Saccharomyces cerevisiae S288C: one gene and its partners. The protein of the gene in region 4 purifies or fractionates together with the protein of the main gene of each other region. This does not show direct contact. Each region holds a gene or a part of one and is shown on either strand. Other genes may lie near its edges. The genes, in order: RCL1, UTP20, ENP1 and UTP10.

Region 1 (3,388 bases), on a different chromosome or scaffold from region 4:
CAATTCTGGCAGCTACTAAGCCATTGGAGCGAATATCCATTGTGAGAAGTATGAAGATTGAAACCGAAATAGGGGAACAATATCAGGGACAGGGCTCAGTATTAAGAAGTGTTGGAGAACTAGAACAGTTTTTGTTTACGATATTCAAAGATTTTTTAAGAAAGGAGTTAGCATGGCCAAGTTGGATTAATCTGGATTTCAACGATGGTGATGAGTAATTTAACAAAGATAGTTTGAAAATAGTGTCTACATAAAAAAACAAACATTTTTGAGCTGGAAAATTATATTTTGTCATGAAGTAATCTATTCTTAACGCGCTTTTCGCATACGCTCTTTGATGATATTTTAGATGACCCAAAAGAGTTAAAGGAAATCATCAATGATCCTCCAGTAATCTTATACTCTAGACAGTTGTCCGTGAAGTTACACCTAAATAATCATATATATATATATAACTTATATACAGTGGTCTAATATCTATTGAATAATATTAGAACATGCTATGCAATCTTTTTGCTTGTGTTTGTGAAACCAATACCCTTGATAGTAGCTATCATGTCTTCATTATCCGCCTCGTCAACTGGTTTTAAAAAGACTTCAGTATTAAAGATCTTCTTAATATCTCTCAAGAGGATTATGAATCTTTCGTCTATCTGTTCCTTATTAATTCTCAATCTGCCGATATCTTCTTTCCCGATGACCATGTAAACAATTGCTAATGGAAGCTGGTTTCTACCAACTGCTGCACTCTTTGATATTTCTTCTAATAATTGACAGGCAACTTTTTCACCAAGTTCTTCAGGTATAGAACCTGCATCACCGATATCTTCTGCAAAATAACTCCAACCTTTCTGCTTGGACTGAGCAACCAAAGTAATACCCCAGCCTGGACTCTTCCCTGAATTTTCACCTCTCCAGACATCTGCCGTTATGTTAACTTCGCATTGCAGATTTTTCAATACCTTCTTAGCACCATCGATCATTCTATTCACAAGCGACGGACTTACTCTGGTAGAGTATGCTACACCGGTAATCGATGAAATTATGGGCCTATCTATTTCATGCATAGTTATAGGTTGCGCAATCAAAGAATCAACAACCAAATGCACTTCGCCACCTCCTAGTGGTGGTGAACCTCTTTTCAAAGTATGTAGGGCGCACTCTCTAACGCCAAATTTTTCCATAACGGGCATGAGTCCCCATTTGATAGCTTCAATACCGGCATCGTTGTGAGATGCAGTTATGCCTTTGAATAATATAGAAAATTTCTTTTTTGAAAATGGAGCCAAATATAGCATTGGTTCGACGAAATAACCTACCGGTTTGGAACTAGGGCAGATATGAGTTGATGCACCACCAACTATGATACCGGGCCTATAAATCACAGTAGTACCGGTATAAGAAATTTCAATTACACTCCCGTTGGTGACCGACTCGATCAGCCTTAGAAAAGACACTTCATAATCTTTCAGACCGGGATTTAAGTCGCCTGAACGGATTTTTTCAATTTTTATTGGTTTCCCTGATAATGTTGCCAAGACGATCCGTAACCTAAAATTTTGTGACCCTTGGAAAGTGGTGTATTTGGGGGCGGAAGATGACATTGCTATACTTTTGGAGGATTATCCTAGTGGAAAAGTGTTGACAATGGTGAAGCTTGACAGATGTTATACCCTTACAACATACGTAGCTTATGAAGGCTCATCTCATCGGCACTTTTTTGCAAATTTTTCTGAAATTTTTTCAATCTCGAGTCCGTGAAAAATTACATTACCAATATGGCGAGGGTAATTCTGACATCCTCCTTCAAAGTAAGTGCAAGTAATAAAAGCAACTTGACTACCCATTTAAAGTATTAATACGCTTTGCGCGGGGTTATAATTATAAAGTTATATCTTTTAAAGAAGAGGTCTGCTATATATAGACCTCCGATGTCATTAGTGAAGTTCCTTAAACATGGTCTTGCCCGAAAGGGATGATACTTCAATGCAAAGGGGAAATGCTCATTTTCTTTTTTTATTTTAGTTTTTTAGTGATTTTGCTAGTCTTTCAGCTTTATGTTTCGTTATTTTATAGTGTAGTTCTTTGATTTTTATTGCCTCATTTTGTATACCGTTATTACGCAAGAGATATTATACTGCTCCGGTAAACATCAATAAAGTAAGCATAATCATAGCAGAGAACTTTACACTTATGCCAGATAAATGTGATCCAGAATTAGTAGCTGCCTTTTTCTCAAGGGTTGCAGTAGCCGAAGGAATTTCCGAAGACGAAGATGAAGACGATGATGAAGACGATGACTGGGAAGCTGAAGATCCGGCGTAAAGACTTTCTTCTTGTCCTATGGAGCTGTTGAAGCTATTGACGTTGATAAAGGAGTGGTGAACATCCTTTTCAACATCTGGTAATGGGGTAGTATCCAGGGTACCATTCCAGCAATAATTTTTAAAACAGGTTTCACATTCCGGAGGCAAAGTAATATTCAAAGCTTGTTGCTTACGTCTAATGATGGCGCAGCCGACGCAGCCCATGAATTCAGGATCATCAGTGAAGTTGTTCCTAGTTGCAATTTCAAACCCGTTTTGAATCATACTTCTTCTTTGGGATTCGGAATATGATAGCTTGAACGCGCTCTGATTACTATTGAAAGAGTATTCTGCATTTGGCAGATAAACAACTAGAGGTGGAATATATTGAAGATCGGTCAAATTATTAGCATCGCAACCGAAGAAGGTTGGTTTCTTGTTCAAACCCAAATTAACGAATGTATTCGTATCTGGAACATATGGGAAGGACATACCTTGACCTTGCTTAACGAATTGACGCTCATAGGTATGGACTAAAGAAGAACCGTCAGGCCAAGCCAATCTCATATCGGCAGAATTATCTACCGCAAAAATAATGTCCACATCACGTTCCTTTTGTATAAGCGGTAACACAGGAACATTTTCGTCGTCTTCACCGCCGTCAACTAAGAATAGGCTGTCTGAATCAACAATACTTGTCGTATAGTCACTATCCAAAAACTTCGTGTCTTTAAATGGATTAGGACTGTAAACAGCGATATCATTAAAATCTTGAGATAAATCCTTTAGAAAATGTCTTGCTAATCTTGTGATGAAACTAGGTAAGTGAGTGGAGTTTATTCTCAAAAGAAACTGGTTAAATAAGGTGGAGGAAGTACCCATGATAAAACCTGCATTATCAAAGCCTGCGGTACATTTTCCCCTTTCCAATGGTACACCATTGGAGACATTCGTTCCAAGGTACTTAACGTTGGCAAAAGAGTTCAAAGAGGGATCCCAGGATCCCATTTCAAAGGGATTAAATTCAAAAACCGTTGCGTTCAAATTGATGACTTTTGTTCCAGGATACCTACCGTCCGCAA
Region 2 (7,810 bases), on a different chromosome or scaffold from region 4:
CCAAAAGGAAGGAAACTTAGCGCTCCAGGTCAACCAGGTCTATATATAGACCAGCAAGAACTAGAGCTAGAAGAAGATGATTACAAAATGAAGGTACATGAAATGCAAAAGCTGATAGGTCTAGCATCATATGTTGGATATAAATTTAGATTTGACCTATTATACTACATCAACACACTTGCACAACATATACTATTTCCGTCCAAGCAAGTGTTAGATATGACATATGAATTGATACAGTTCATATGGAATACGAGAGATAAGCAATTAATATGGCACAAAAGCAAACCTGTTAAGCCAACAAATAAATTAGTTGTTATAAGCGATGCCTCGTATGGTAACCAACCGTATTATAAATCACAAATTGGCAACATATATTTACTTAATGGAAAAGTAATTGGAGGAAAGTCCACCAAGGCTTCATTAACATGTACTTCAACCACGGAAGCAGAAATACACGCAATAAGTGAATCTGTCCCATTATTAAATAATCTAAGTTACCTGATACAAGAACTCGACAAGAAACCAATTACCAAAGGATTACTAACCGACAGTAAATCTACAATCAGTATAATTATATCCAATAATGAAGAGAAATTTAGAAACAGATTTTTTGGTACTAAAGCAATGAGACTGAGAGATGAAGTATCAGGAAATCATCTGCACGTATGCTATATCGAAACCAAAAAGAATATTGCAGACGTAATGACCAAACCTCTTCCGATAAAAACATTCAAACTATTAACAAACAAATGGATTCATTAGATCTATTACATTATGGGTGGTATGTTGGAATAAAAATCCACTATCGTCTATCAACTAATAGTTATATTATCAATATATTATCATATACGGTGTTAAGATGATGACATAAGTTATGAGAAGCTGTCATCGAAGTTAGAGGAAGCTGAAGTGCAAGGATTGATAATGTAATAGGATAATGAAACATATAAAACGGAATGAGGAATAATCGTAATATTAGTATGTAGAAATATAGATTCCATTTTGAGGATTCCTATATCCTTGAGGAGAACTTCTAGTATATTCTGTATACCTAATATTATAGCCTTTATCAACAATGGAATCCCAACAATTATCTCAACATTCCCCCATTTCTCAGGAATCCCAACAGTTATGACAAAATTTATCAGAATTCCCAGTTTCATACATGTTTGATATTTATAGATAATTCATAATGACGGTTTATTTATTCTGGTAAGTTATGATATCATGTAAAACGAGGCAACTTGGCCGAGTGGTTAAGGCGAAAGATTAGAAATCTTTTGGGCTTTGCCCGCGCAGGTTCGAGTCCTGCAGTTGTCGTTATTTTTTGGACAGTAATAAGAGTACGTAAAGTCAATGGAATACGTGGTAAAAGCATCACGTTTATGTTTTATTAAAAGATTGGCATAGAACTTGGCCTTCTTCGTAACGACTTATCACCCGTTAAAAGTATGCTATATGAGTTATATCGGCTGCAGTGTATTTCTTCCTGGCTCATTTAAAGCTAATGAAATGTACCTCTCGCTTCATTTTCTAAGGTAGTGTTTTGAAGGCGTATGTATGTAATGTCACCCGGACTTTTGTAAAGAAAAAATTTTGAGTTTATGTCTTTCCGAAAATTTTTACCGATGAGCATTGAAAAGTTGCATTATTAAATTTGGTAGCGTAAAAACCACCGATTAAACAGGTAGTGTAGGTTGTAAATTAAAGATCATATTCTTTCCTGTTTACATCCAGTTTTACGTTGTTGGCCGTATTGGTATATTTCTAGTATCAGTTACACATATTTCATTGAAAGTATGGCTAAACAAAGACAAACTACTAAATCGTCTAAGCGATATAGATATTCTTCCTTCAAGGCTAGGATTGACGATTTGAAGATTGAACCGGCTAGAAATTTGGAAAAAAGGGTACATGATTATGTCGAGTCGTCGCATTTTCTCGCTTCCTTTGATCAGTGGAAAGAAATTAATTTAAGTGCCAAATTTACGGAGTTTGCAGCGGAAATTGAGCATGATGTTCAAACATTACCCCAAATACTATATCATGATAAAAAGATTTTTAATTCTTTGGTTTCATTCATTAACTTTCACGATGAGTTTTCTTTGCAACCGCTTCTGGACCTCTTGGCTCAATTTTGTCATGATTTAGGTCCAGATTTTCTTAAATTTTATGAAGAAGCTATCAAAACTTTAATAAATCTGTTAGACGCTGCTATAGAATTTGAGTCATCTAATGTTTTTGAGTGGGGTTTCAACTGTTTGGCTTATATTTTCAAGTATCTCTCGAAATTTTTGGTTAAAAAACTGGTACTCACATGTGATCTTTTAATTCCACTATTGTCTCATTCTAAGGAATATCTTTCAAGATTTTCAGCAGAAGCATTATCTTTTTTAGTAAGAAAGTGTCCTGTTTCTAACTTGCGCGAGTTTGTTAGATCAGTTTTTGAAAAGTTAGAGGGAGATGATGAGCAAACTAACCTCTACGAAGGGCTTCTGATATTATTCACAGAATCCATGACGTCAACGCAAGAAACTCTGCATTCGAAAGCTAAAGCTATCATGAGCGTTCTTTTGCATGAAGCTTTGACCAAATCATCCCCGGAAAGATCTGTTTCATTGCTCTCAGATATTTGGATGAACATTAGTAAGTACGCCTCAATCGAAAGTTTACTTCCAGTCTATGAAGTTATGTATCAGGATTTTAACGATTCTCTCGATGCCACCAATATCGATAGAATATTAAAAGTATTGACAACAATTGTCTTCTCGGAAAGTGGTAGAAAAATTCCTGATTGGAATAAAATTACTATCCTAATTGAAAGAATAATGAGTCAAAGTGAAAATTGTGCTTCGCTTTCACAGGATAAAGTGGCTTTCCTATTTGCTTTATTTATTCGTAACAGTGACGTGAAAACTTTAACATTATTCCACCAAAAACTTTTTAACTACGCTTTAACAAATATATCTGACTGTTTCCTTGAATTCTTTCAATTTGCTTTAAGGCTAAGCTATGAAAGAGTATTTTCATTCAATGGATTAAAATTCCTACAGTTATTTTTAAAGAAAAATTGGCAATCACAAGGAAAAAAAATTGCACTTTTTTTTCTAGAAGTAGATGATAAGCCTGAACTGCAGAAAGTACGGGAAGTAAATTTCCCAGAAGAATTTATTTTATCTATCAGAGATTTTTTTGTCACAGCAGAAATTAATGATTCGAATGACCTTTTCGAAATATATTGGCGAGCTATAATTTTTAAATATTCGAAATTACAGAATACAGAAATTATTATCCCATTGCTTGAACGTATCTTTTCAACTTTTGCATCACCAGATAATTTTACGAAAGATATGGTCGGTACACTCTTAAAAATATATCGTAAAGAAGACGACGCTTCAGGGAATAATCTATTAAAGACTATTCTGGATAATTACGAAAACTATAAAGAAAGTTTAAACTTTTTAAGAGGATGGAACAAGTTAGTGAGTAATCTTCATCCTTCAGAAAGCTTAAAAGGACTAATGTCACACTATCCAAGTCTACTCCTTAGCTTGACAGATAATTTTATGTTGCCTGATGGGAAGATTCGTTATGAAACTTTAGAATTAATGAAGACATTAATGATTTTGCAGGGTATGCAAGTACCTGACCTCCTTTCTTCATGTATGGTTATCGAGGAAATACCTCTTACACTACAAAATGCCAGAGATTTAACCATTAGAATCAAGAATGTTGGTGCCGAATTCGGAAAAACCAAAACAGACAAGCTAGTATCCTCTTTCTTTCTCAAATACTTATTTGGCCTTCTTACCGTTAGATTCTCTCCAGTTTGGACTGGTGTTTTTGACACTCTTCCTAATGTTTACACAAAAGATGAAGCCCTCGTTTGGAAACTTGTGCTATCATTCATTAAACTTCCTGATGAAAATCAAAATTTGGATTACTACCAGCCTCTTCTTGAAGATGGTGCAAACAAAGTTCTGTGGGATTCGAGTGTAGTGAGGTTAAGGGACACTATTGATACGTTCTCACATATTTGGTCAAAGTATTCTACTCAAAATACGAGCATTATATCTACTACTATTGAAAGAAGGGGGAACACCACCTACCCAATTTTAATTAGAAATCAGGCTCTAAAAGTTATGCTATCGATTCCTCAAGTTGCTGAAAATCACTTCGTCGACATCGCACCTTTTGTTTATAATGACTTCAAGACTTACAAAGATGAAGAGGATATGGAAAATGAACGTGTTATTACTGGTTCATGGACAGAAGTTGATAGAAACGTGTTTTTAAAGACTTTAAGCAAGTTCAAAAATATAAAGAATGTTTATAGTGCAACAGAATTGCACGATCATCTGATGGTACTGTTGGGTAGCCGTAATACAGACGTTCAGAAGCTTGCGTTGGACGCACTTCTTGCATACAAAAATCCAACGTTGAATAAATATAGAGATAATTTGAAAAATCTACTAGATGACACCTTATTCAAGGACGAGATTACGACTTTTTTAACCGAAAATGGGTCGCAGTCTATCAAGGCTGAGGACGAAAAGGTAGTCATGCCTTATGTCCTTAGAATTTTCTTCGGTCGAGCACAAGTCCCCCCAACTAGTGGACAGAAAAGAAGCCGCAAAATAGCTGTCATTTCAGTTTTGCCAAATTTTAAGAAGCCATATATTAATGATTTTTTGAGTTTGGCTAGTGAAAGGCTGGATTATAATTATTTTTTTGGGAACAGCCATCAAATAAATAGCTCAAAGGCTACCTTGAAAACTATCAGACGGATGACTGGTTTCGTTAACATTGTAAATTCTACTCTGTCTGTATTAAGAACAAATTTTCCTTTGCATACTAATTCAGTGCTGCAGCCGTTGATCTATTCAATTGCTATGGCATACTATGTCTTAGATACTGAGAGCACAGAGGAGGTACATTTAAGAAAGATGGCAAGTAATTTAAGGCAACAAGGTCTAAAATGTTTAAGTAGTGTCTTTGAATTTGTTGGAAATACATTTGATTGGTCTACTTCTATGGAAGATATTTACGCCGTTGTAGTTAAGCCTCGTATTTCACATTTTTCGGATGAAAACTTACAACAACCCTCCTCTTTACTAAGACTTTTCCTTTATTGGGCACACAATCCATCTCTGTACCAGTTTTTGTATTACGATGAATTTGCAACTGCCACTGCATTGATGGACACCATATCAAACCAACACGTTAAGGAAGCTGTTATTGGCCCAATAATTGAAGCGGCGGACTCAATTATTAGAAATCCAGTAAATGATGATCACTACGTAGATTTGGTGACTCTCATCTGCACATCATGTCTGAAAATACTTCCTTCGCTATATGTCAAACTTTCTGACTCAAACTCGATTTCCACATTTTTGAATTTGCTAGTTAGTATCACTGAGATGGGATTTATTCAAGATGATCATGTTAGAAGTCGTTTAATTAGTTCATTAATATCAATATTAAAAGGAAAGCTAAAAAAACTGCAGGAAAATGATACCCAAAAAATTTTGAAAATATTAAAGCTGATAGTTTTCAACTACAATTGTTCTTGGAGTGATATTGAAGAACTATACACTACCATATCTTCTTTGTTCAAAACATTTGACGAGCGAAACCTCAGGGTTTCCTTGACAGAGCTCTTCATAGAACTCGGTAGAAAAGTTCCTGAATTAGAAAGTATTTCGAAATTGGTTGCGGACTTGAATTCATACTCCTCATCACGTATGCATGAATATGATTTTCCTAGAATTTTATCAACTTTCAAGGGGTTAATTGAAGATGGTTATAAGTCCTACAGTGAGTTAGAGTGGTTACCTCTGTTGTTCACCTTTTTACATTTTATCAATAATAAGGAAGAACTTGCGTTAAGAACAAACGCATCCCACGCTATAATGAAGTTTATTGACTTCATTAACGAAAAGCCTAATCTTAATGAAGCTTCAAAATCGATTTCTATGCTGAAGGATATACTTTTACCCAATATAAGGATTGGCCTCAGAGACTCCCTAGAAGAGGTACAAAGTGAGTATGTATCAGTGCTATCATATATGGTAAAAAACACGAAATATTTCACCGACTTCGAAGATATGGCCATTTTACTGTACAATGGTGATGAAGAAGCAGATTTTTTTACAAACGTTAATCATATTCAGCTTCATCGTCGTCAGAGAGCCATTAAAAGACTAGGTGAACATGCTCATCAACTCAAAGATAACAGTATATCCCATTATTTAATTCCAATGATCGAACATTATGTCTTTTCGGATGATGAAAGATACAGAAATATTGGAAATGAGACCCAAATAGCCATCGGAGGGTTGGCGCAGCACATGAGTTGGAATCAATACAAAGCTCTTCTTAGAAGGTACATTTCTATGTTGAAAACCAAGCCTAACCAAATGAAGCAAGCCGTACAATTAATTGTTCAACTTTCTGTTCCACTTAGAGAAACTCTTCGTATCGTAAGAGATGGGGCTGAGTCGAAACTTACTTTGAGCAAATTTCCTTCCAACTTAGATGAACCCAGTAATTTTATTAAGCAAGAATTGTATCCGACTCTTTCGAAAATTCTTGGCACTAGAGATGACGAAACTATAATTGAAAGAATGCCTATTGCGGAGGCATTAGTTAATATTGTTTTAGGGCTCACAAATGATGATATTACTAATTTCCTCCCTAGTATTCTAACAAATATTTGCCAAGTTTTGAGAAGTAAATCCGAAGAATTAAGAGATGCAGTAAGAGTAACCTTGGGTAAAATCAGTATTATCTTGGGCGCTGAGTATCTTGTCTTTGTGATAAAGGAATTAATGGCTACATTAAAACGTGGTTCTCAAATTCATGTGTTAAGTTACACTGTCCACTACATATTAAAGAGTATGCACGGAGTCTTAAAACACTCCGATTTGGATACCTCGTCCAGTATGATTGTTAAGATTATAATGGAAAATATCTTTGGGTTCGCTGGTGAAGAAAAAGACTCTGAGAATTATCATACAAAAGTGAAAGAAATTAAGAGTAATAAAAGCTATGATGCTGGTGAAATTCTCGCCTCAAACATCAGCCTGACAGAATTTGGAACATTACTCTCTCCTGTGAAGGCTTTGTTGATGGTCAGAATTAATCTAAGAAATCAAAACAAACTGAGTGAATTATTGAGACGATATTTGTTGGGTTTAAATCATAATAGTGACTCTGAGTCAGAAAGTATCCTCAAGTTCTGCCATCAGCTTTTCCAGGAATCAGAAATGAGTAATTCCCCTCAAATACCAAAGAAAAAAGTGAAAGACCAAGTAGATGAAAAAGAAGACTTTTTCTTGGTAAATTTGGAGTCGAAATCTTATACCATCAACTCAAACAGTTTGCTTTTGAACAGCACTTTACAAAAATTTGCTTTAGACTTACTTAGGAACGTAATAACGAGACACCGCTCCTTTTTAACTGTCTCGCACCTAGAGGGTTTTATTCCATTTTTGAGAGATTCGTTACTTTCGGAAAATGAAGGTGTGGTAATTAGTACTTTACGTATCCTGATTACATTAATTAGGCTAGATTTTTCCGATGAATCTAGTGAAATCTTCAAAAACTGTGCGAGGAAGGTACTAAATATTATCAAGGTTTCTCCTTCAACTTCAAGCGAATTATGCCAAATGGGTTTAAAGTTTCTTTCTGCCTTTATACGTCACACAGATTCAACATTAAAGGATACTGCTTTGAGTTATGTTCTAGGGAGGGTCTTACCAGATTTAAATGAACCAAGCAGACAAGGCCTTGCTTTTAATTTCCT
Region 3 (3,582 bases), on a different chromosome or scaffold from region 4:
GCGTGTGATCTTGGTGGCGGTGTTTGGAGATTTGTTGAATCCCCCATTGATCAGGAACAATCTCACCACAACGGCTCCGATCGGCTTTTAGTTTGTTGCATGTACAATGGTGCCAAGGTGGTGACCATGAATGATAATTCCGATGAGTATTTTCAAATTCAACATTATCTGAAGAAGGGCCATGATTCGATGTGTTACGGTGGCGACTGGTCAAATTCTTTGATCGCAACATGCTCATTTTATGATAATTCCTTGCAAACATGGATAGTTTAGAAAAAAAAATTCAGTCTGCAATATATGGACTAATATATAGGCTAATATATAGGCTAATATATAGGCTAATATATAGGCCATATTTTGATGATTTCGATAGATTATGCATAAAGAATTGATAGGAAGGAACTTGCCTGAACAATAATCTTTTACTCTATATTTTCTACTTATTATACATGATTCAGAAGCTTTGTTGAAAGGGGGAAAGACCGAGCGATATAAAATTGATGAAAAATTGATATTACAGCATCAATTGACATCAATCATTAAATCATCATTAGCTTCCTGTGGATCAACAAACTCCCTGCTGGCTCCTGCCAATAGTTCTCTTCTAATCTCAGGACCGATATCTTTATGGCCTCTTTGACGAACAGTTTCCAACAAGAAATCTCTCTGATCCTGGGTAATATCGTTCTTGTAACGTTGTGCAAATGTTAAGAAAGCCTTGTGCCATATCACTGGGAGTACTCTTGTAGCATCTTCCCCATTACTACCGTCATCCAAAATTCTAAACCTCATAAAGTAATACACGCAGTCGTCCACCGTCTGGTACGGTAAAGCATATTTTTTATCGAGCAATATTTTGATAAAAACAGTTGTAGGTGGAGAGAAAGGTAGCCTTAAAAGATAACTCAAGGCAGCTGAAGAATGTAAAGCCGGAACAGAGACTTTAGCAAGCACACTTCCTGCAATTGTCGCTTCACGTACATTACACCCTGTTTCAACCAATGGGAATAGGAAACCTTTGAAGAAGGCACTTGGTTTATAAAGCGATTTTTTCACCGCACGGTATATATGATAGTTTAAAGAGTGGTCTTCACTGGTCTCGATATTGTCACGGAAACGTTCAAGTAAAATTAGGTTAATAAATTTTTGAGATTCTTTAGCAGTTAGGTTGGATACAAATAATTTCGTTGCTTCGTAAACAACGTGTGGTGACCATTCTTCCGGGTTGGTCACATAAATGACATCTTGCCAATTTCTTAAGGATGGGATAACCTTGAACAACTTTGGCAACTTACCGTGCGTCCAAGTTTTTAAAATACTACCTACCGTAGTATATGCTTTGATGACCTTCTCTGGAAGTGCAACACCCTCTCCACTCTTCAAACCGGATGAAATATTGCCTCTTGAGGTATTCTGTTCATTAGCAAGTGGTTCATCATCTTGCATATCTTCAACTTGACTTTCCTTTTCTCGGATAGAGGCCATAATCTTGTCTGCAAGATTATAGCTACCACTTAAAGAGTTAAAATCATCTGATTTCTTGAAATATTGCTCAAACATCGCTGCGTCTTCTTCATCGATTTCAACTATCTCTTCCTCTTCTTTATAATCACCTTCGGGTTCAAAATCGGAGATGTCTTCTCCAAAAGCTTCTTCGTCTTCGTCTTCGTCTTCGTCTTCATCATCATAGCTCATGGTGGTGAATCTGGCTTCAAATTGCTTGTTTCTTTCTGATTCAGCAAGTTCCTCACCTTCAATTTCATCCTGTTGTTCCTTGGCCAACTGCAAAATTTTTCTTGATGCTTTGGAGTCTATGTATCCATCTTCCTCATTTGCAGCATCGTGATTTGCAGCATCGTTCTGCGCTAGCTTCTTTTTATTGATTTTTTTCAAGGTACCTTGAGCTGCATCTAAATCCTTTAAAAGTGGATCATGCCTCTGTTTTCTGGCTTTAGTAGAGGATGCTCTGGCCATTATAGTTAATCTTTCTAATATATTGTTTTATCTGTAAGTCTTAAAACGAGACAAATCTTGGATTTAAAACAACTTAGTGCATATTTCCTTTCGTCAATGTTGAAGAAGTGGGAGCTCATCGATTTTTAAAAATTTTCATTTCCGATGCCTCGCTAAAAAAAAAAAATGAAAAAGTGGAAAAATATGTTCTATTTCTTCCCCTACTGACACCACCAATAATACAACCATATAAGTTGGTACAATTTCTCCAAGCTGTACATCCTCTTGTGTTGTGAAATGTCTGATTTAACATCTATCATTATTGCGTATATAGACTGAGTCAAGATTATAAAGTATACATATCCAACCACATTACTCTTCATCCATTCTAACCTTTAATCCGTGCTCTAGTAAATACTCCTTTACATCGTTAACAGTGAATTCACCTCTGTGGAACATACCTGCACCCAAGCAAGCATCTGCGCGGGTCTTTAGGAAGGCCTCTTCGAAATGTTCGGGTACACCGGCGCCACTGGATGCAATGACGGGAATCTTGACCGCATCTTTAACATGTTCTATCAATTCCAGATCATAACCAGAATTAGAGCCATCCTTGTCTATGCAGTTCAATAAAATCTCCCCAGCACCTAGAGCTTCACATGCCCTTGTTAATTCCCACACACCAAGGTCTCTAGATTCTCTTCCACCTTTGATTGTACATTGGTACCAGCAGTATTTCTCTCCATTGGGGCCCGGATATTCTGTCTCGAAGACTTTGTTCTTCGTATCTGCTTGTGAATTTACATATACTCTCTTAGGGTCGACAGAAATAACAACTGCCTGAGCACCGTATGCTTTCGAGATTGTCTCTATTGGTGACGTTCCATCTCCTCTGTTACCCAACTCGTAGTATTTTTCGGCTGCATAGACTGCATCCGTACCGATCGATACTTTATCAGCACCAGATCTGAAGTATAGACTTGCAACTTCTAAAGCAGGTATTTTGGTTCCATCAACATCGACAATATCCTTGATCCCCCCACCGACTGTCAATGGAACAAAGACTGTCTTTGCGGCTTGTTTCAGAACCTCTAGCATCGGAGTATCCTTCAAAGGACAATCTCTAAAAGAAGTTATATTCAAAAATGTTACTTCATCCGCACCCTGTTGGTAATATTTCTGTGCCAACTGAACAGGCTTACCAAGGTTTCTAACACCTTTACCATCACTTTTTTCACGTACATCGTATTGATCACCTTTAGTAACCACCAAATCACCTTGGTCATTAGTACGTACATCAAGACAAGCAATAATTCTGCGTGTTAGACCATAATTTGAATAGTCATTCATTAAGAGTTCCTTCTCTTCCGCACTATAGTTTGGAATCGGAGGACTTTGTTGCTTCAAAAAATTCTCAATGACGTTCAAACCAGCTTTACCTGATTTTTCAGGATGGAACTGAGTAGCGAATATATTATTCTTGTTGACTGCCGCAATAAATTCCTCTGAACCGTACTTAGCTTTTGCAATTTTCCAACCGTCATTTTCTAGGTTTTTTTTCTTTTCTGAATTCAGAATGGCAGCAAAAGAATGGACGAAATAGTACCTCTTGTATGGATCCAATCCAAA
Region 4 (7,651 bases):
CTTCTTCGCTTTGATTTAAGCTGTTGAGGTTTTCACTTGATTTTGGTTCAAATACATTATCTCGTTTTCTAATGTTATAGCCTCGAAGAGTTGTAGCCTGCGATGCCATAATATTACCAGTAGAATTGTAGAGCACAGTACAAATACCCGAAATGATATTCGTATATCTAGTATTATAGCTTCAACCGCTTGCAATATGTTCTCTTTCAAACTACCTTATTATCAAGCCTATATCTTATTTTTCACTGATTAGGATTGATAAGCGCAGATAAGCGAAGATAAGAAAATTTTCACTCTGTTCGCCCGCTATTTAGGATCAGTAATTTTAGTAACGTTAATCACTAGGAACGACGAGAAAGATGACAGAATAATATCTCATTGAAACTTGAAGTAGCGTAATTGAAATATTAAGTTCAAACTCAGAAAGGGGCAGCTATCACGAATGAATAACAATATTTTCAATGAAAGATTTCGTTCAACAGCATAGTGTTTTACTTTACAAAAATTTACATAATACTTCACCTTTTTTTTCTAATCTAAATACCTATCAAAAGGTTCCCCTAAAACGTTTTCAACAACCTTGACCAAACCGGTCCTGACTTCACGTTCGATCTCTTCATCATCATCTTCCAATAACTCAGCGATGACGGGAACGAGCTGTGGCAATAGAACTAACCAACTTTCACCTATCTTTGAGTATATCAACTTCATGGCTCTAATAGCCCATAATTTTTCATTGGAGGAACAGGAAGCTTTCATGTGTTCAACGATTAGTTTATTCAAAATTTGGTTATGCTCATCAACGCCACTATTGTTAGAAGCCAGAGCGCCAATTGCCTTGACCAGGTACTTCCCAATAGAGTTTTCTATATTAGATAGTTGATTGACCAAGGATACAGAAATTAACTCGAATCTGGAAGTTGATTTCCAGTATTCGTCTCTATCAAACTTTAGCGAAGAGGTTAGAGAGTTGATTACCAAACGTCTTAAATTAACGTTTTCCATGTCCTTGCTAATGAATCTTTTTAACAACATATCAACAGGTTCTAACAAATACGTGAAATAGGAAGTAATTATACCTCTCAAATTTTCTTGAAGCTTGTTGAAAAATTTGAAAAATGCCAACAGTCTTTCTGTTTCAGTGATACCTGCATTTGTAACGCCTTCACCGTCAAACGCCCATCTTACTAATATAACAAATAGCGGTCTAAATACTTTGTCATTCATCTTCAGGACGTAAGAGTTGGAAATTTCGTGAACGGATGCCTCTATCCTACTAATTGTATTATTATCGAAACTGGAAATGGATCTAAATTCGAATAAAGATAATAGTAACTTAAAAAATATTGGCGATTGTGAGGTTGCGGATTTTTTATCAATATTTTCAACAGTGGATTCTAATGTACTCAAAAATAGACTAACAGCAACTGTATCATTGGACGTTGCTATTTCAGTGGACCAAATTCTGAATAAAACTTTCAAAACTTCCTTCAAATCTATATTCTCAATTATCAATGAAATTACTGACAGCCTAATGCTGCTGTCAACTTCACGGGAAAAATAAATAACATGCAAAACATCCAAAATATTTGACATCAAGAAACTTGGTATCCTTTTGATTAGACCGGCGAACAGCAACAGTATAGCAACTTGCAACTGCTCTTTTAATGGGTTACTACTATCTGCCAATGAAGCATCAAATAATTTAATAGAAGGTGGGACTATTTTTGGATAGAACGCAATTGACTTGACTCCTAAAACTTGAACACAGTTAGTTATCAATGCCAACGAAGATATCTTGACCTCTGTCATATCAGAACTAACTTTTTCAGTAGCAAGGGTGAGGGCTTGAGTTAATATGGACCCCTCAAGCTTCTTACCATATTTGCTCACTAAAGCCGTCATCGTGTTCAATATTACTTGAGAAATAACAACAGATTTAGATTCCAAAGGCATTCTGTCGAGCAAAACCTTCATCACATTGTTAACTATAGGAATAGCTTCAGAGCCTTCTAACTCGAATTTGGACCCTATTACCAACGTTAGGTGGTATCTAATATCTTCATTAGTGGATGTACTGAGTAAGGGTAATACCGCATTAACAAACTCGTCAACTGGTAGAATTTGTAACACATTGCCAAGCACCTTGAATAGAATCTCCTTTATTTCAGTCGTGTGATCTGATAATGATGTTTCAGAGTCGGAAGCTTCCTCATTTTCTTGGGAAGTTATACATGAAAAGGTTAATTCTACAGAATTAATGAAAAAAAGAACACCTTCTAAAAGGGTTCCAAATTCTTCCCTGATGTTTCTAATTAACTTTTTATCGCTTGTTTCATCTAACAAAACAGAATATACCTTTAGTCTTAAATTTCTCCTCACATCGTAATAATCTTGATCTGTTTCCTCGGTTATTTTATTGATAAACTCAAAGGTATTGTTCATAAATGTCAAAAATTCACTTTCCGAAAAATTCAAGACACCATTTGAAAACAAGACACGGGATTCTAGTGATTTCTTCTTTTCCGAGGAGCTCTTTGATGATGTCAACAATTTGATGATATCGAGTAAGTCATTCAAACCTGATAATTCCTCATTGACATGTAGATCAACGAGTAGGGCCTTAATAAACTCAATTAATATTCTTGCCTCGCCAATTTTAAAGTTGACTAAAGCTGAAGAATACTGTTGTGCAATCAAGAAAAGGAACGAGCCCAGTGCCTTTACTGGATCAAGTGTTTTGATTAACGTAGAAAATAATTTAACCCTCCTATGTCTTGGAACATGTTGCAAAGCGGTTGTGAAGCTCAACAAAAGGAACTCCATTTCCTCTTTTTCATTTCCTTTGCTATTCTTGATCAAGGCAGGGACAACAGTTAGTATCGTACGCTCAACAACTTTAGTTGTGAATTCATCATCTTGACGAATACTATGGGCTCCCATAAAAGTAAAGATAGGCATTACAGAATGCAAAATAACTTCCGAACTTAAAGTAGCAAGAGATCCAATTACAAGTAATAGTTTGTTTTGGACTTGCGGAGATGCAGAATTTCTAATAGCGGATACCAATATATCTGCCCTTACGTTGGTTAGTTCTGTACAGCCATGTTCCTTCAAGTATGTGATAGTGTTCAGCGTACAAGAAATCAAAGTTTCTTGCGCATATAAAACCGGTAATCCACCGTCTTGATCCAAAGTTTCCAGATCTGATAATAAGGAAAGTAAAGTGAACAAAAGCTTTTCGGATCCAACATTTCTGACTTTATCAAGTGCTTCCAAAATAATCGTCAACTTTCTCAGGTGCAATTCCGCCAGTTGCGAAACCTCCTCTTTCAAAAATGCGTTTTTACTTGTTGATGAACGTCTTCTTCTTCTTTTAGAAAAGTCTGTCTGATCCATTTCGTTACTGATACTGTTTTGATTTAGTATGGATACAAAAATATCGGAATCTAACGGCAATGATTGTAGTACACCGACTGTATCGTACGATGATTCTACGTTACTCGAAGAATCCACGATATTTTGGACGATTTTTAGTTTTTGAGCATTATTTAATGAAGCGAATATGCTGATAAGCCTCTCGGCAGCTATGTTAGCTAACTGCTCATAATCTGAGTTAAGAGCACTGAGAACAAAATCGATCATGAATGACTGCTTTTCTTTTGGTGATACCAAATTAACTAAAGAGCGCTCAAAATGCTCAAAGTTTGTTTTATTAGCAATACAACTCTTTTCCCAACTAGATCTGTTTTCTAAGTAGTGGGAAATAAATTCCTCAAATAGGGAGGAATAAGAAGATGCATAAGTCGGACTCTTGTTCAGGTTATCCAACAACACTGTCTTGGCATACGGAGAAGGTATTAGTAGGGCTTGATTAGCCCAAAACATCAAAAAGACTTTTTCATTTCTCTTTGGCGTTAAAATTCTGGATATGTCATAATTCTCAGTAACGTACTCATTCAAAAATCCTGATAACCATGCCTCACTATCTTTGGGATTTAACATAGGAATGGTAACGTTCTCTCCGTAAAGTTTATCAGACAAAAAGTAGTGCTTAGTGGATGGTCTTTTAGCAATCAAGGAAAGAATCTTCTTCACGCCAGTCCTAACTTTTATAGAAGCATCTCGCAAAGCGCAAATCAAGCATGGAACTAAAGTAAAAATATTAACTTCCTTTTCAATACTATTAATATATTTTGCAATATTGTTTAAAGATATTAGCTTTAGCGCGGTTGGAGCGGCTGGAGATATAGTTACTCTTAACAAAAACGTTATTCTTGATTCTAAAGTAGTGAAAAATGAAGTCAAGAAGGAACTTGCTTTATAGCCTTTACCAATAGCTTCAGTGAATAAAGATAAAACCTTTTTGTATCTTTCTCCAGTTTCTGTTAGCATGGACACATTCGTTGTGTTTATCAATTCTGAATGCTTATCCAAGAATGTTTGAAATGAAGCGGTATCCTTTTTAGTAGTTTCCACGGGGTCGCTTAACTGCTTTACAATGTCGGTGTTAACATCGGCATTAGTGAACAAAGATGTAGTAAGCCTGATTTCGAAGAGTTCGCCTGTCAGTCCCAATGATTTCAAACATTTTAACACCAAATCTTCATTTATGGAGATAAAATATTCGAATAGTTCTACTAATTGTGACTTGTCCTCTAAAATTTCGGAAAGGTAAATCAAATCAGTGATTATCAACCTAACTTCGTATCTTTCTAGTCTTATTTTTTTTAGTAGGCTAAGAATAATGTTCAATTTGGACCGATCATACCTTGCTATGGATCTTGTATAGGAAGTAATGAATTTATCACAAACTGGTTTGTCTTCCTTATCTAAGAAGGTTAGTATAGACACAGTGTCGAACTTGCTATCAAATAACTTGAAAATTTTGGAAGGTAGCTGATCTACGTTACCTTGTCCTTTTAATGTTTGGAACAGCTTACAAATCGTGAGGAGTGCTGAATGTTTTGCCTCTTTAGCATCTAAGTTTGAAAGAATGGTTTCCATGGCAGCTAAGATAATTGTTTTCTTTAAAGGCAAAGCTGTAGCAAATACAACTAATATGGTATGTGCAGCTATTTGACAATCCTTTGATTTAGAGGCTAAAAGTTTAGCAGATATTTCAAGTAAGATTGGAACAAGCTGATTCAGTTTTTCATCGTTGTTTGAATTGAAAGCAACAACGTTAATAAAGCAGCATGTTGTAAATAAAAGCTGGTTAGTATACGTTGCATTATGCTTAATACATTGATCCAAATAACTGGTATAAAGTTTCAGAAAATCCATGTCATTAAAGAGCTTTATCATGGTTAGCGCCGTTGGGGGCTTTTCACTTCTAACAAAATTCGACAAACAATTAAACAAAGGGGGCAACTTAATAATGCTGAGAATTCTCTTAAAGACAGGTGTTTGGTAGTAGTTGAGAGTGGACAAAAGCAGCATCTCTGTGTTTTTAACATGTATTTGAAAACGACGAACCAACCATTCTGTTGCATGTAGTGTAGGTGCTAAATACCATTTAGAAGAAGCCAATAGCAAGTAAGCATTGATAGCATTATCCAAATCTTTAATTTCTTCTTTTGTTTGGACATTTCTATCAAGAGAAATGGAAGACTCTGAAAAGAGTGTTCTTGAGAAAATGGCAAATTTTGGCTCAATTTGGCTCAATTCTTCAAGAGCCTTACTAGCGTTTTCAAAAATGAAATCGTAATCTTGTGTTGCAGCCGTCTTTGAGTTATAAATCAAAGAAGCAGAATGAAGTTTTTGTCTTCTCTTTCTATCCAACGCAACAGTAGCATTGTTGGAAGCAACTTGAGCTAATTGGTCACTCAACGAAGACATTTTCAAAGTTATTCGTACTTTGGTGGCCAGTTAGATAAGTCTGATTCTGAAAGGTAATAAAGAAAGTATTTGTTACACCTTCGAAAATATCTAGCTCATCGCTAACTGAAAATTTTTTTCTTTGCTTAACGCAGAAAGAAAAAAGAAAAAAAAAAAAGTCATGTGACTTGAATATTATTAATCTATGTATGTTATGATTATTGGCTATGAAACCATAAAATTGAAAAAAAGGATTCATAAGCTGATATGTTATTTGTACTTAATGCTATATTTATAATTTACTTTTGAAATTTTTCTTAGTGGGTCAAAGTCTTCTTTGATACTGAAGAATGACCCAATGGCAACACTTGGTCCATTGGTTAACAAGTTTCTAACGAAGTGGACCTTGTGAGAGCTTATAAACTGAAAAGACCAGTTTTCTTTTTACCAAAGGGGTAGACAAAGAGTGAAGAAGCAAATAGTCCCACAGAAATACCGACACAAACTTGAATCATTGTCATACCAAATGACATTGAGGACGATGGATCGGAGGTGCTTGTCGTAATGGTTTCATTAGCATTAACAATTGTATTTGCACTTTGCAACCCAGACAACAACGAATTTTGTGAAGCAATACCAGATGGCACTTGAACGAAGATTGCGGGAAGCATAGCTGATACCGCTAAACCTTTCCAAATTCTGGAATATAGATTACCTAAAACACCTATGACAAATGCAGCTAAGGCGGCAGTAAACTCTGTCGAATTCGCAAAATGCTTACCGGCCCAATATGTTACGACATAACCGGTGCAAGAAATGAAGACCATAACTGGCAGTTGTGAGATGTGTGCTTGATTTAATAACGAGATACTAATGGTAAACGCTGGAACGAAGAGGAACCTGAACCACGGAGAAATTAATTGAGGACATGAAATTTCGTTAGTGGCATTGTGATACATCCATCCAAACAAAGCTGAGCCCAATGTTATGCCAAAACCCAAAAACAAAGAATAAATAATGGCGTAGAACATACGGACCGCGCCAGCAACTAGGCTTCGACTTTGCAGTTCTAGTGCACCACACAGAATAATATAACCTGGCAGGATTAATGCCAATGAGCCTTGTGTAACTGCACCAAAGCAGATGTGAGAACGAGGGATAGAGCCAAAAGCTCTACCGCAGAAGCTAACGACAATAGATGCAGAAATTTCGAAGACGTTTGAATACATGTATGACTTTTGTGAAAGAATAAATTGTAATGACCCCACACAAAGCCCCATAAAAAATGAGATTGCCAGGTTTACCCAATCGCCACCAAAGGCATACGGAGTGACCATAGCGGAACAAAATGCATATAAAAGAACACACATCCAAGGTGGATATAGATTCGTGTCAGCCAAAATTTGATCGAGTAAAGCATTACCTTCATCGGCACCTAAGGTATCATGGACAACTCTTTTGTAAACGGCATGAACTTGATGCAGCTTCCAAAGGTTTAGACCTTGAGTACACCTAACCAATTGAACTTCGGAAGTTCTTGTTGTTGCATCACCAAATGAAACAATCATACAACCTGGAAGATACAAAACTGACCATCTATTTCAAGGACTCTAGAAGTCATAACCATATATTCTTCAAGCCTATGCGTCGGAGCACCATACATCATAAGAGCTCTACACATGCGTAGGATGAACCGGTGTCTTTGTAAAATGTCTGCAATGTGAACCGTAATTTTCGCTTCAGTTTTTAGTCTTTTCTTCAGTCTAGGCATTCTGCCTTTTTTAGCCTTGCCTTTTAAATTTTGTAATCTGCTACGCTTGGCAACTGGTAC

What was found.
Region 1: the proteins of UTP10 (region 4) and RCL1 purify together in Saccharomyces cerevisiae (affinity purification with mass spectrometry; 5 studies listed by BioGRID). This does not show direct contact.
Region 2: the proteins of UTP10 (region 4) and UTP20 purify together in Saccharomyces cerevisiae (affinity purification with mass spectrometry; 6 studies listed by BioGRID). This does not show direct contact.
Region 3: the proteins of UTP10 (region 4) and ENP1 purify together in Saccharomyces cerevisiae (affinity purification with mass spectrometry; 9 studies listed by BioGRID, with this or other methods). This does not show direct contact.

What each region holds. Positions count from the first base shown.
Region 1 is NC_001147.6:306,154-309,541, reverse strand, and holds RCL1 (rRNA-processing endoribonuclease), read right to left. Parts: upstream 1,605-3,388; coding exon 501-1,604; downstream 1-500. Other genes in the region: ERMES complex subunit MDM12, read left to right, coding at 1-218; PLB3 (lysophospholipase), read right to left, coding at 2,133-3,388. UniProt on the Saccharomyces cerevisiae protein: Does not have cyclase activity. Plays a role in 40S-ribosomal-subunit biogenesis in the early pre-rRNA processing steps at sites A0, A1 and A2 that are required for proper maturation of the 18S RNA. RCL1 activates BMS1 by promoting GDP/GTP exchange.
Region 2 is NC_001134.8:225,834-233,643, forward strand, and holds the start of UTP20 (Utp20p), read left to right. Parts: upstream 1-1,802; coding exon 1,803-7,810. UniProt on the Saccharomyces cerevisiae protein: Involved in nucleolar processing of pre-18S ribosomal RNA and ribosome assembly.
Region 3 is NC_001134.8:712,482-716,063, forward strand, and holds ENP1 (snoRNA-binding rRNA-processing protein ENP1), read right to left. Parts: upstream 1,975-3,582; coding exon 523-1,974; downstream 1-522. Other genes in the region: RRT2 (diphthamide synthase), read left to right, coding at 1-273; HIS7 (imidazoleglycerol-phosphate synthase), read right to left, coding at 2,326-3,582. UniProt on the Saccharomyces cerevisiae protein: Required for normal export of the pre-40S particles from the nucleus to the cytoplasm.
Region 4 is NC_001142.9:211,469-219,119, forward strand, and holds UTP10 (snoRNA-binding rRNA-processing protein UTP10), read right to left. Parts: upstream 5,842-7,651; coding exon 532-5,841; downstream 1-531. Other genes in the region: GZF3 (Gzf3p), read right to left, coding at 1-109; pheromone-regulated protein PRM10, read right to left, coding at 6,237-7,388; YJL107C (uncharacterized protein), read right to left, coding at 7,385-7,651. UniProt on the Saccharomyces cerevisiae protein: Involved in nucleolar processing of pre-18S ribosomal RNA. Required for optimal pre-ribosomal RNA transcription by RNA polymerase I together with a subset of U3 proteins required for transcription (t-UTPs). Involved in ribosome biosynthesis.